Linked DNA regions of Caenorhabditis elegans. The protein of the gene in region 2 purifies or fractionates together with the protein of the main gene of each other region. This does not show direct contact. Each region holds a gene or a part of one and is shown on either strand. Other genes may lie near its edges.

Region 1 (5,953 bases), on a different chromosome or scaffold from region 2:
TGTACAATACGGAAGCATCGTTAAGGAAAGTCAGGTTAGACATGTCTTCGGTTTTCTCGAATTTTGGTGGATTCATCTCTTGGACAACATCCTTTTTGACAGTCTTCTACAGAAAAAAGCAACATAATAATTGACAAATAAGTGGTTTTAAAATTCACTTACCTCGGCTCCCTGTCCAATGGACACAGTTACATTATCTCCAGCGGTTTTAGTGATGACACCCTCAATGTATCCGTCTTCCGAATCTGGGATCCAGACGTTCTTCTTGGAGTCATATGCGCGGGATTGATCCTTTAAAAATGGAAGTAAAAAAGTGAAAATTTATAAAGATGATTTTTTTTTTTAAACTAAGCAAGCTTATAACATTCTTTAGACAAAAAAACCATGCTTTATAAAAGTACCTGGAGCATCTCCTCGCGACTGCGGCGAAGGTACTTCCATCCTGGGTCGTTTTCGTAATCCATTTCTGTGTCTGACGATCGAGGGTTAAAATGAAAAGTGGTGGAGAGAAGTCAACCGCTCGGTGGGATGCGCGAGCCTGGAGATAACTTTGATTTTCGGCGAGCCCTTCTTTTTCCCTGGGTGGGTGGATTGGGAGGCGGGGATATCCAATTGTAATTCTAGGTAGCTGAAAAGTGTCTGCACACTGTTCTCTAACCATCGACGCAGGAAAAGTCTCTTTCTCAAGTGCAAATAGCAAAAATCTTCTTTCTTCCCCCCCATCTTCCGAGCAAGGCGCCCCCACGGATAGTTGCTCGCTGGCGGTAGGGAGCGAAGAGAGCAGAGAACCTCAACGGGATAGTGGGGATACGAGAAAAGAAACGGCATTTTAGGTTAACTAAAGATAGTGAAGAAGCCGGCTCAATGCAGAGAGGCAGACATCCGACGGCAAACAACGAGAGAATTTTATCCAGAACAATGAGTACAGTGTGTGCGCGCAAAGTGCTCTTCCTGCCATTTTGCTACTCTTATCCACACAACCACTTTAGCGATTACCAACCTATCTTGAGACTTATCTTTATTTTCTCTTCTTTTGCCGACGAAACGGGAGAGAGGGGCAAAAAATGAAGAATCGGGGGCACTGATTAACACACTTACTTTTTTTTAGGCTGAAGCACACATTGCTGTTCGGGGTGTAAAGTTCAGCAGAATTCAAAGCAAAAGACCACCCGCATCGGTAGTCAATATTGATCTGGAAGATTATTAAAAATTGTCAGAGTGAGCCATATGCATATGAATTTAATTCATACATAACATTTATAAGACAGGAATAAATACCAAAGTGAAGTTATTATTTGGTCGATTATCACTTTAGCATAGTGAAAGTATCCCTCAATGTCTCTACTTGTAAACTCAGTTGATTTACAAACGTTGTTTTATTGATTATAAAATTAGTTTTATGGACATTTAAAGCAAAGGATACTACTCAGATATAAAATGTACGACGTTTTCAATACTTTTACATTTCATTTTTGTTCTTGTAGCTTATGGGGATGTCACAATAAAACGTCCACAGCACAAAACCCACAATGTACAAGGTATAATTATGCTTATCAAAACTCGAATTGCAACCTGGTCAGGAGTAATTATTATTACAGACAGTTACTGTCCACCACCCCCAATTCAAATGCCTCGAGACATGTTCTAGTTTATGATTGATAACACACAACTTCCTTCTCTAAACCTCCGCACGCTATTCAATAATGATAACAGTGCCCATATACAAGTTGCTCCATTTTCTCGTACACTATACACAACACAATTATTCTGCGTCTTCAATTCTATCAAAACAAAATCGATTGGCCTAATCGGTTTCCTTTTCTCCATAATCCATAATGATTTCTGAACGAGCACCACTACTTGAAAATGGGTTAGTTTTGTGATGTAGTTGATGTTCGTTTATATCAGAGTTGTGATTTCCTGTGCTTCTATGACGTATTACCAAAGAAAAAACATGAGATCTTTTTGTATTACAGAGTTCCTCACATTTATAATACAGACGAAGGTAGAAAAACCACAGTCACCTATGATAACTTTCATTGCCACGATGAAGCTGACTCAACAGATTCACATGATAGCAATCGGAGAGGTATTGCTTTTAAAATTTCTGCCAAACTCGAGTCCTAATGAAACCTTCTTCAAACTATTTGTTTCAGCAACGCGAATTTTATGGCTCACCGTCGTGCTCTGCCTATTTTTTATGGTTTGCGAAGTTATTGGTGGTGTTCTCGCGGGCTCACTCGCAATTGTCACAGATGCCGCACACTTGCTCACTGATTTTGCGTCAGTGCTCATTTCGCTGTTTTCTCTGTACATTGCAAGACGGCCACCATCGCAAAAAATGAGCTTTGGGTTTCATAGAGCCGGTGGGTAGTTGGAAGAATTGAGCGACATAGTTTGAAATGAATTTCAGAAGTTTTGGGAGCATTTTTCTCAGTTTTCCTTATTTGGATAGTCACTGGAGTATTAGTTGTTCTCGCAATTATGAGAATTGTCAGCGGAGATTATGAAGTAGAAGGAGGAATTATGGCTTTGACAGCCGCTCTTGGAGTGGTTGTAAACTTGGTGTAAGTGTTTTTATGAAACGAGTCTGATAGCTTTATTAACTGGTATACACTTTTTTACTTCGATTTGAAATCGATATTTGGCATGAACTTTTATCCGGGTGGGAGCCCCAGGAATGTTGACATGTCAGAAAAATGTCTGTCCATGTTATTTTCTTTTAACTAAAAATTAGGCTGTCACGGACTTACGGTTTTCAAAGAAATTTTTTTGAGTTCGAAACAAATCTAATGTGACATATGTATCTTAATTGATATTCAAAATCAAAATTTAAGCATGCTTGCATTGTTGTACTTTGGTGGTCATTCACATTCTCACGGAGGCGGAAGCTCTCATGGTCACTCTCATGGTGGTGGCAACGGCGATAACATCAACGTCCGAGCAGCTTTTATTCACGTTCTGGGAGACCTTTTACAAAGTTTGGGCGTTCTTGTTGCTGCCCTTTTTATCTATTTCCAGGTGAGTGTTTTTTTCTCGGCAAACAATGACGTCTTATCAAATGTTCTGTAATTTTTCAAACACAATGGATCACTGTTTCAGCCGTCTTGGGTTATTATTGATCCAATTTGTACACTTGTTTTCTCGGTTATTGTGCTATGCACCACTATCTACATATTGAGAGATGCTATGATTGTTTTATTGGAAGGTCAGTGATACGTTTCAGTGGCAACAACATTTCTAGCTTTTTAGCGGAGTATCAAAATAATGTTTTTTTATTGAAAAAAAAAATAATTTTAAAAATTTTATTGCCTTGAGATTTCAGCAGTTTTGACAAAAACCTGTTTTTCATTCAAATTAAGCAGATTACTCTTTCCTTGCAAAATTTTCAAAATTTTCGAAAGGCGGGAACAAAAAAAACAAAATTGTTTTATTTTCAAAAATTCAGTTTATAATATTATCTAACTTTTTTGAATTCCCAAAATTCTCGCTGATTTCCATAACTTTTAAAATTTTCAGGTAGACCTAGCAACATTGACTTTGCGAAAGTATTTTCGTCCCTTGAAGATATAGAAGGTGTTAAAAAGGTTCATGACTTGAGAATTTGGAGTTTGACGATGGACAAGGTAGACATGACACTCAAAGCGGATTAACCCAAATTGTTTTCCAGATTGCACTCTCCGTACACTTGGAAATTGACGCCAATAGTCAATCTCAGTCAATTCTACGCGAAACTCGAAAAATGTTGAAACAAACGTATAATGTACATGAGATTACAATTCAAATTGAGGAGTTTGGAGCAAATAGGTCGGATTGCGGAAAGTGCGATTTCCCAACAAAATAAGGAGGGTTATGTGATTACATTTTATTATTGAATGAGATTTTTGAATTTTATTTATGTATTTGTTGTCAATTTTTGTTTGAAAAAAAAATGTTTCGACTCCCTGATAAAACCAATAACAGCACAAAAGATATTCTTGTTCATTCATTCCTGTTTCATTCATTCCAGAATTGCTTAAATTTTATTTTCAGATCATAACCTTTTAGATTTTTGAAAACTAATGATCCAACGTTTTTAAATTATTTCAAATTTTCAAAATTCAAAACATTTTGTAGCTATATATTAGACGTAAAACAAAAACTGCACATGTTCTTTTAACAAAACAAATTCCCTTAGAACAACACTATTTATTAACGTTCCCAACTAAAAACTAAAAAAAAACAAAATCAAATATTCAAGGAATTTTCTCGGAAGGTTTGTTTTCCTCATAATAATCGCAGCATCCATCTGAATCCAGATCTCTTTCATATTTCTCGCAAAGTTTCTGGAACATGTCATTGAAGTCTTTTTCAACACGTTCCAAATGTTTATTAGTTTGTTTCCGACTGAACCGATGAGAAAATTCTCCCTCTGCAACCAACGTGACCTGAAAATATGAGTTGAAATTTTCGATGATACAAAGTGATTCAACAAACCGATTCACCGACGTAAAAGTCGTTCATATGACGTAATGCGAAGCAGAATAAAAGACACAGAATTACAACGAGCCAAACGTCGGAGTTGTCACGAGATGCTTCGTTTTCTCTGGAACAGATTCAAAAATTTATTTATTCGAAAACAATTATGAACATATTGGTTCAAAAGAACATTGACGAAAAGTTAAATGTATAAATGTATTACATTTTATGTAATGAATTACCTAGGGGAGTGCTGCTCATCTTGAGCGTTAGCCAGTGTAATTGAAAGGATTATTATAATAAGCAGGCAGGTGAGACAATTGCACAATTTTCTCATTTCAAATCAACTACCGAGGATATGTGGACAATGCTGAGCTTTCGCCATTTTGACATTTCCGCAAATAGTCTCTGACTGTTTATTTGTTGAAGAAAATAACTGATAGGCAACTGAAGTTAAGCTGTTAATTTTTATAGGCTATAATAAATAGAACTTCGAAAGATGGAATACAAACTTTCAAAAATATGCGGTAAAGCACTTTTTTTAATTGATAAAGTAATTGGTAAACTTAAAAAAACTTACTTCAGGGTTGTCAATATTGGCTGAAGAATATTAACTTTCAATCAGAAAGATGTAAACAGAAGTTGACAAATATTTTGAAATGCAAAATTTATTTATAACAATTTTTACAGTACTCAAAACGAAATTGCAATAAAAAAATAATTTTAAACTAGCTTATTTGATTCCACACCTTAGATGCCCTTCTTGTCAGTGTGCTAAATTTTTTTTGATTACTGCCAGAAGTCTCCCAACAGTTTCGAAGTATTTTTAAAATTTGACATTTTTGTAGATTTAAATCAAAAAATAAATATGATTTTCCAAGTTGTCGTCACTATCTTGTTGGCATTTAGTGAAATAAAACTACCGACAAAAAATATGTTCACGTAAAAATATATAAAAAATCAGAATAACTGATATGTTCAAAAACGTTGGTATTAAAGTTTATTGTGCAAAGTTGTAGTCTATGAAATGTTTGGTGATGTCAAGTTTCGGGAAAAAAACCACCTCCGATTGTTAAGTCTAATAATTTCTAATCAATCAATGTGTAAAATTTAGAAATAATTTATTTCAGAAACTTCATGATTGGCAGATGACGTTGTTACCTTCACTGAGCCCCTTATTCCTACGGTAGGTGCTCGCCACGCCTCTTCACACATCTTCTGCGATTGTTTTCGAGTTATCACCAATTTGACTCCTACACTATTTTCCGCTGTATTGAATAACAAAATATCAGTTTCCATCCCAATCAATACTAAAACTGTGTATCCAGTTTGGTCAGCTTCCGGTCAGTTTTGAACATTCTGTCTTTATTGTCCGCTACCGTCCCCGCTCGTACAACATTTTGTGTTTGTCCACAAATTATTGTGATTGCTCTTGTTGTTGTGCGCCCGTGTAAATGCCAATTTTTGTCTGTGTGACTATAAGAATTGAAGTATA
Region 2 (7,596 bases):
GTCCGCATGTTAGAAGAATACCTCCCAAAAAATGGATAGTTACTTTTATAGTGGAGAAAGATCACGAATTGATAAAGATGATATCGAACTAGAGATTTTGATGTTGAAAAAAGTTTTCTTTTCATTTGACAAAGTCGGGACAGAAGACACAAGACAGGAGATGAAGAACTTTACAAAACAGATTTTTGATATGAAGTTCGACAAAATTTCAAACCCACTTGAAATGAAATGAATCGAAAATGAATCATTCATGCATTTCTTTTGAATCTGAATTATTATGAGTCAAAAATCGAAAGGAAATTTCCATTCAAGTTTACAATGAAACAGCATTAATGACTTTTTTTGTCAAATTGGTAATGTTGATATTTTTGTTCATCGCTATCTACAGTATTTTTTAAAAATTGAAATGACCACATGACTAATGTTCTAATTGTAAGTTTTTTTTTTTAATTTTACAAAATAGGTTATGTGTATGTAAACAGTTAATTATCGATTGTTGTATCAAAAATACAATGTGAAAATTATTTTTTTCGATAATTTGAAAACAATCATCAAAAATGAGATTTAAAAACTGTGTTATAGAAGTGGCTCTCGCAACTGAACCTGAGTGCAACACCAATAGATAATGCAGGTTTAAATTTTCAACAATGTTTGAGGTGCAATACTAATAAAAATCTGTTATTTATTTATTTTCATTAGCGAAAAAATATCGGAGAGAAACATAATATTGAATTAAAACGGAAACTAAAAATGATTTTTCTGAAAAATTTTCGGATTCAAAAATCTTGGATCAACTGAATTTTTGGTTATTCTCTGGTGCTATTTATGTGGTCTCGAGCTGTCAATCACATCGATAAAACAACTTTGAACCAAGAATCGAATAGTTCAACCTTTTGAACTCCACCGATACTTTACGAATGCTTTTTCAAAAAAAAAAATTTAAAGAGTGTGGATTGGACAGAGAGTCTAGAGCTGACCGAGAACACAAGGTTTCAAGGTCCATGATTTCTTGAGCGTCAACTAGAAGATAGTTTTGAAAAATATAATGACAAGAAGCAACTGTCGTGAATTTTTTTATAAGCAGCACAAGACAGAAAATAGATCGGGCTCTGTATTGTATAAAAGGGATAATTTTAGATCGTTTTTTTTTACCTTAACTTTACAAAACAGGTTTTTTTCAGTTAAATATTGTTCTGAGCAGTTGTGTTTCACCATATTTTTCAATTTTTTAAAACTTTCTAAGGTGGAATACAGCAATCTTAGACGTTGCGTTTTGAGACCTAAAGCAGGCCAGAATTACCGAATTTCGTAGTGAGACGCTCTGAACATTTCTTGATCTAAAAAGTCATGGTGGTTCAAAGTTGTGGAAAAATACCTATTTTCACTACGCAAATTTTGGCAACTTTTCAGTTCCGCAACGGATAATTTATCAAAACATAAATTAAAGAGCGATGAAAAAATGAAAACTCCAAAAGTACTTTGTTTTTTTTTTAATGTTCGATCCAAAGTCTGGCCTTTCCTCCATTTTCAGAAGTAATTGAATCTGACTTTGCTAACTGTTTTTTTAAAGAAAAATAATGATTTAATTTTAATTGTTTGCCTCTCAAAAATGTGCACATCTACAAATCAAATCTATTGATTCAAATTAAAATATCGAATTCCGTGAAATTACTACATAAATTTAAGTTTGTAGAATTTCAAAGGTTTATTATTGATGTCGAAATGATAATACAAGAAACTACTATTCACATGAAAAGTAAAGCTGTTCAGTTTTTTCTCTTGTTCTTTCTCTTCTTGTTTTCCTCTTCGGATTCATCGCTGCTATCATTCTTCTTCTTTTTATCCTTTTTCTTGTCCTCTTCCTCTTCACTATCCTTATTCTTCTTCTTGTCCTTCTTCTTCTTATCCTTATCCTCTTCCTCCTCCTCGTCCTCGTCCTTCTTGTTTCCCTTCTTCTTATTCTTCTTCTCCTGAAATTAAAAATAAATAAAGATGAGTTTAAAACATACTATTAATATAAAACATAAATTTCATGTGTTATACAATTTTTTATAAAATATTTTTAAGCAAACCAAGTCAACTTTAATACGCTTTAATTACTTACACGTTTTTCCTTATTCTCTTCAATCTTGTCCTTGATCTTCTCGACCTTTTCCATCTGAAATTTTGAATTTTCATTAGTTACCATCAAATATGGTAGTAACTCACGATTTCATCCAACTTCTTCTCAAGTTTATGATCACTTGCTCTCTTCACTCTGTCCAACTCAGCTCCCTCCATCTCGGCAACATCCGATTCCAAATCGACATTGTCCTCGTTCAATGGATAACAGTAGACAACGCCGACTATGACAAGAAGAAGAATAGGAAGTGTTCTCATGTTTAAACTTTCTTATTATATTTTGGTTCTATCAGACTCTTTTATAGGATGACCGGGCCGAAGGCATGAACCGAAATTGTTCGCCATCGATATCAATTTTGAGATCTCGATCAGAAAAAATTTCGTGTTTTTCAAATGAACTGCACAAGACACAAACTTGATAGAAAAATATGAACAAAAGTAGGAGATCAAGAAACTAAATCAAAATCTTCAGCCTGTAACACCACTGGGAGCGTATTGAACGTTTGTTTCCGTTACATTTTTTAATTCTGAATAATCTTGTGACATCCGAATAAATAATTATATTCATCTTTATGCGAAGTTATTTGTTTTTTGAAAATTTATTCACTTATTTAAAAATCGTGAAGAAACAAACTGATATAGCAAGCGAAAAGTCCTAAAACCCTTTTTCTGAACCACTTCGGAAGTGCTGCTTCCGAATGCGCTTACAAATGTCCACTGCTATATTGATTTGCGCTTTAAAAAATTAAAATTTCTCTCGCTTTTGCGTTTCATTATTTGGTGTATGCAAGGCTTGAACAAAATTAAATCATAAACTAAAATAAAAATAAGCTTGAAACGCCTGTCCGCATTCCCGAGGTGGAGATGTTTCATAAACTTTCACTTAATATTAAAAAAAACTATTTTTGTAAGAAGGGCTTTTTGCTTGAATTTGTGATGGGAGAAGTCTTAAAACCTTGGGCAAAGGCTTCGAGATTTAAATTCTAAATATTCGACTCAAGCCATTTTTTACCATTATACAAAACTCCCTGGTTCTCTATCTTCATATAAATCTGAATATGTAGTACTTTATCCAAATAATTAATTTTAGAAGACATATAAATGACAAATACTTTCTCAGCAGATTATTAACCAAATATAGATCTTCCATGATTATCTAAGCCTTTGGTGTACTGTTACGTTTTTGAAGCTCGGCCTTCTTCTTATCAACAAATGCCTTGTAAGCAATCTGGTCGTCTTCCGATTGTGTTTCCATGTACTTATCAACCTCTGCGTGGAATGTGTGAAAAACATTCTTTCCAGCTTCCCGATCACCTTTTGCTGCCTCGAATTGGCCCTTGTAGGTCTCCGCAATCTTTAAAATTCCATCAGCGGCGGCCTCAGAGACACCGGCGGCAACTACTTCAGCTTTTGCTTCCTCGGCTGAATTATTTTATTTTTAGATCTAAAACTGAATGCAACAAACCTGTTGGAGCTCCTGCATAGACAGAAATTGCCGTAAAAAGGAGGGCGACGAGAAATCGGCACATTGTCCGGTTAAACAGAAATGGTAGAAATGGTAGAAATGGTAGAATGAAGGAGAATGAAAAGGATAATCTGACGATATGAGGGTTATATTTGATGATGGTATGTGTTTGATTTGATCCGAACTAGTTTTTAAGTTGAATTATTTTTTATTGGTAGTGATCATTTCAAAGATCGAACTCTTCGAACTCGTAGTGTGTGAAAAGTTTGATGTTGGAAACGTGATTTAAAATCTCTCAGGACCTTGTGTATCAAAATAACTTTTACTTTAGATTAAGTAACAAATTTGTTTAGTGCATCGTGATTTCAATTTATTACAATTGTCAAGTTCCAGATTTTGAATAATATTTTCCAAGTTGCACTTCCGGGTTTCTGGCAACATTTATCATCTAATTAATTTTAGGTTAATTAAACAAATTGCTTTGAATACTCCTGTTGCAACAACTACAGAAAAAGTAAGAAAAAAAATGTTCTCCAAAAAAAATTAGGAAGACCTTTTAGTCTTCATTTATCACAATACATTGGTAATGAAAATGTTCACAGAACAAAAATAAAATAAAATAAAATATGTACGTGGCTTAACCAATTTGTTTTTTGAATTCGATCAGATAACGACTCGGATCCATCTGCATGCTTTTTGTGAGTGATGTCTTTTGCTTTGAGTCAAGCTGAAAAATTTAAGATTAACATTACTTTCTAACTAGAATTGATTTACCTTTTTCAAAGAAAAATAAATGTAAATTGAAAGTAGAATTCCATAAGTTGGAATAAAATGAATCACTTCCACGAGAGCAAAGTACGTTGGTCTGCTCATTTTACTCGAATTAAAATGTAATGAAGTTCCAATAAACGAGAAAAAGAAAAATACGAAACAATTGGCGTTAATGAACATATTCAGTGCTTTTATAGATCGAATTCCTTGCTCCAAAGTATACCGAGTGCTCAGTGTTTGTAGTTTCTGGGTGTTTCTCTTCCTCTGAAAACTGATTTTATTTGATTCTTCAATGTCAAAGATACTTACTTTAGTTTGCACTCCGATGTACCAAAACGCCAATCTACATACACACTGAGCAATCATAACTGCATATAGTGGAGCATTAATTGTCCAGACGGATCCGTGACCGGAAGCTAGAGTCTGACAATAATAAAGAGTAACATTTGGGACTGGTGTAAATGAGGCATCAAAGTAGAGTTTAAACAAGAATGCAAATGCGAGGAAAAGTTGAAGAAATCCTAGAAGAACACCGAATCCTCTTCCACACATTTCATAAGTCGAGTTATAGTGAAGTGCTATTGCTCGTTCGATGACAAGACTTGTTGAGCACATTGCTGCAAGCGCCATTCCAAAGTTATAAAGTCCTCGAACAACAAGACATCGATAGAAATCGGGTAGAGCATCACAACCAGTATTTGAAAAATAGTTTATGAGGTCCAGGGAATGAAGAGCAAATCTGAAAAAAAAAACCAAATTAAACTGTTTATCCATATAGAAATATAAATATTTGTAGTCCCTAAATAACAAACTGTCGTTTTTTAATAAATTCGAACACGTGCCCAAATACTAGAAAACAATAATTTAACTGACTAACTCCAAATTGCTACTAACTTCTTTTTGCCATTCTAGCGTATCATTATGAAAAATGGAAGAGTGACAAAAATAATTTTGGGAGGTTCAAAATGTGGCAACCATTATTGGTGTCTCACGTGCTGGCTTTTTTTGCACAAAGATAATTTGAAACGATAAAACTGAAAAAGGATATCCTAGATTATTACCACATTAAAAAAAAATCATTTTCGAACGCCGAACATTTTTGTTCGCACCATTAGCGTAACGCGTAAAACTGTCCCCTAGATTTTTAAACTGAAATATGAAAAAAAAGTAATATTACAGTATTTCATTAATTTTAAAATTCATTAATTAGAAACAATTTTTCAGGACAGAATTTAACATCTCAATTATTTCCCAAACGAATTCAAAAAACAACTCACCTTCCTGTGGAATGAACCAACAATGCAAATATGTGAACTTTAATCTGAATCCTTGTATTCCGATGAAACAGTTGCTGAGAATTTATATAGTGTAAAGCAGTTAACAGAACTGGAAACGAGATTATCGTGATGCCGAGATTCACAAAAAGGGATAGCCGGAGCCACAAAGATGTGGTCATATCTGTCATCTGCTCGCAGTCCGACATTCTGAAACATTAATTCTTGAGTGGAAAATTTGATAGAAGAAAATGGAAATTGAAGGACAAAATTGATAGACTACCATCAAATTCTTAATTAGATACCAGGTTTTCAAACTTTTATTTATGGAAAAAGAAACGGAACTTGGCCGAAAATATCTTTTTCAAGGTAAAGTAGACTAGGTAATTGAGAATAACAAAATTATTCCAGCATATATGCTTTCATTTTGCACCTAGTTCTTTTGAGCAATTTGTGAGTCTAGTTTAACATGCTGATACTTGTACATAGAAAGAGAACAAAAATAAAAATAATATATCGGAAACAATATTTTTTAGAAATTAAAAATCAACTTGTATAGTTGAAAAGTGAGACACTAAATAGAGAATTTTCATGAGCCGTTAGTCGTATGATTTCCACTAATCAACGTCCAATTTGTACACTTTTGGGACTTTGGGAATTGGCGATGCTCACGTAGAGATGTAGAAAGAAGAATAGATATCCATGTGTGGGAGTGCTGTGGAATGAAAACCTTCTTGAAGGTAAAAGAGAGGACAATAGAAAGGAAACGAGTAAGAAATACTGAACTCTCGGGTTTGCACAGAGTCCAATTGCTACTAGATGCGACTGGTTTCCGGGGGAAGATCTCAAACAATATGTGAAGACCAAAAAGTGGTGTCACGTGTGGGTTGGAAACGGAAACAGGACGGGTGCTAGAAAATTTAAAAAGAAACAAAAATAAGAAGATGAAGTTGAGTGCTTTTCTAGTACTTGCCACGCGGAATTTTAAATGAGCAGCTTCAGCAATGTTATACATAGCCGCACATTTGGTTGTCCCCTTGTTTCGAAAATCATCTATGAGATAGAGATGGCTAATTCGAAATTTCTCCTTTGAGAAACATGGATCAAAAGGTCACGAGAAAAAGAGGAGCGGAAACATTTTCAAAAGAAAAAAAAAGAAAACAGCCACATTCGAGATATCTGTTTTTCCTCATTTTCAACCCTCCCAAATTGACGTTTTGGCGTGAGTGAATGCTTTTTCGAATGTGAGCAAACAAATGGAACGGAGAGAAATCAGAACAACTGATAATCAAAAAAACTGAACACGGGGGATTGGTTCGTGTGCGATACCTATAAATTATTATTATCCATGACTAAATTTCTGAAATTTAACAATTTTATGAAAATGCATCACGATTCCCAATATAAAAATCGATTTAAAAAAAATCGAAATTTAATCAGCTGAAAATAACATTGAAATTCTAGATTTTGGGTTAAATCATACTATTGCTATTTGAAAATTCATGCTAAATAATAATACATATTATTTAAAAATAGTCACCAATTAATAGTACCAAAATCCGCAAGTTTCTTTTAAGTTTTCGGAAAAAAGTTAAGTTAGATGTTAAGCTCACATTTTCAGGTCCCATGGTACGCGTAGTTGGTTTCCTAGTGAGGTAGGCAGGCGTTTTTTTTTAATAGACTGCGGTATTGAGAAAACATTTTTTCATATCTGATGAGTTGGAAATGATAGCGTGATTTGTTTTTTGAATTTAATTAATTATATGCTGGGAGTATCAAAAAGCCTGTTCATCAAAAATCTTGTTTTTGTACATAATAGTTGAAAATAGTTGAAAATTAATTAATACTGTTACTTTAAAAATCTAAAAATTACTAAAAAACAAAAAAAAAATTTTGAAACAAATAAAGAAAAACAAAGCCTAAAAAAATAAACTTGAAAAAAAGGTCAATAGATAATTATTTGAA

The links.
Region 1: the proteins of spig-10 (region 2) and cdf-2 fractionate together in Caenorhabditis elegans (co-fractionation; one large-scale study listed by BioGRID). This does not show direct contact.

The regions. Positions count from the first base shown.
Region 1 is NC_003284.9:12,462,660-12,468,612, reverse strand, and holds cdf-2 (Cation efflux protein cytoplasmic domain-containing protein), read left to right. Parts: upstream 1-1,695; 5' UTR 1,696-1,835; coding exon 1,836-1,870; intron 1,871-1,976; coding exon 1,977-2,089; intron 2,090-2,156; coding exon 2,157-2,366; intron 2,367-2,413; coding exon 2,414-2,567; intron 2,568-2,837; coding exon 2,838-3,021; intron 3,022-3,102; coding exon 3,103-3,208; intron 3,209-3,519; coding exon 3,520-3,626; intron 3,627-3,670; coding exon 3,671-3,844; 3' UTR 3,845-3,973; downstream 3,974-5,953. Other genes in the region: myo-2 (Myosin-2), read right to left, coding at 1-106, 163-291, 402-464; T18D3.5 (uncharacterized protein), read right to left, coding at 4,236-4,427, 4,477-4,585, 4,701-4,795.
Region 2 is NC_003283.11:7,002,395-7,009,990, reverse strand, and holds spig-10 (Inhibitor_I29 domain-containing protein), read right to left. Parts: upstream 3,728-7,596; 5' UTR 3,651-3,727; coding exon 3,587-3,650; intron 3,544-3,586; coding exon 3,278-3,543; 3' UTR 3,173-3,277; downstream 1-3,172. Other genes in the region: C33G8.2 (Cylicin-2), read right to left, coding at 1-8; drd-10 (dietary restriction down regulated), read right to left, coding at 1,767-1,970, 2,105-2,158, 2,209-2,379; srab-4 (Serpentine Receptor, class AB (Class A-like)), read right to left, coding at 4,224-4,313, 4,361-4,621, 4,667-5,096, 5,635-5,840.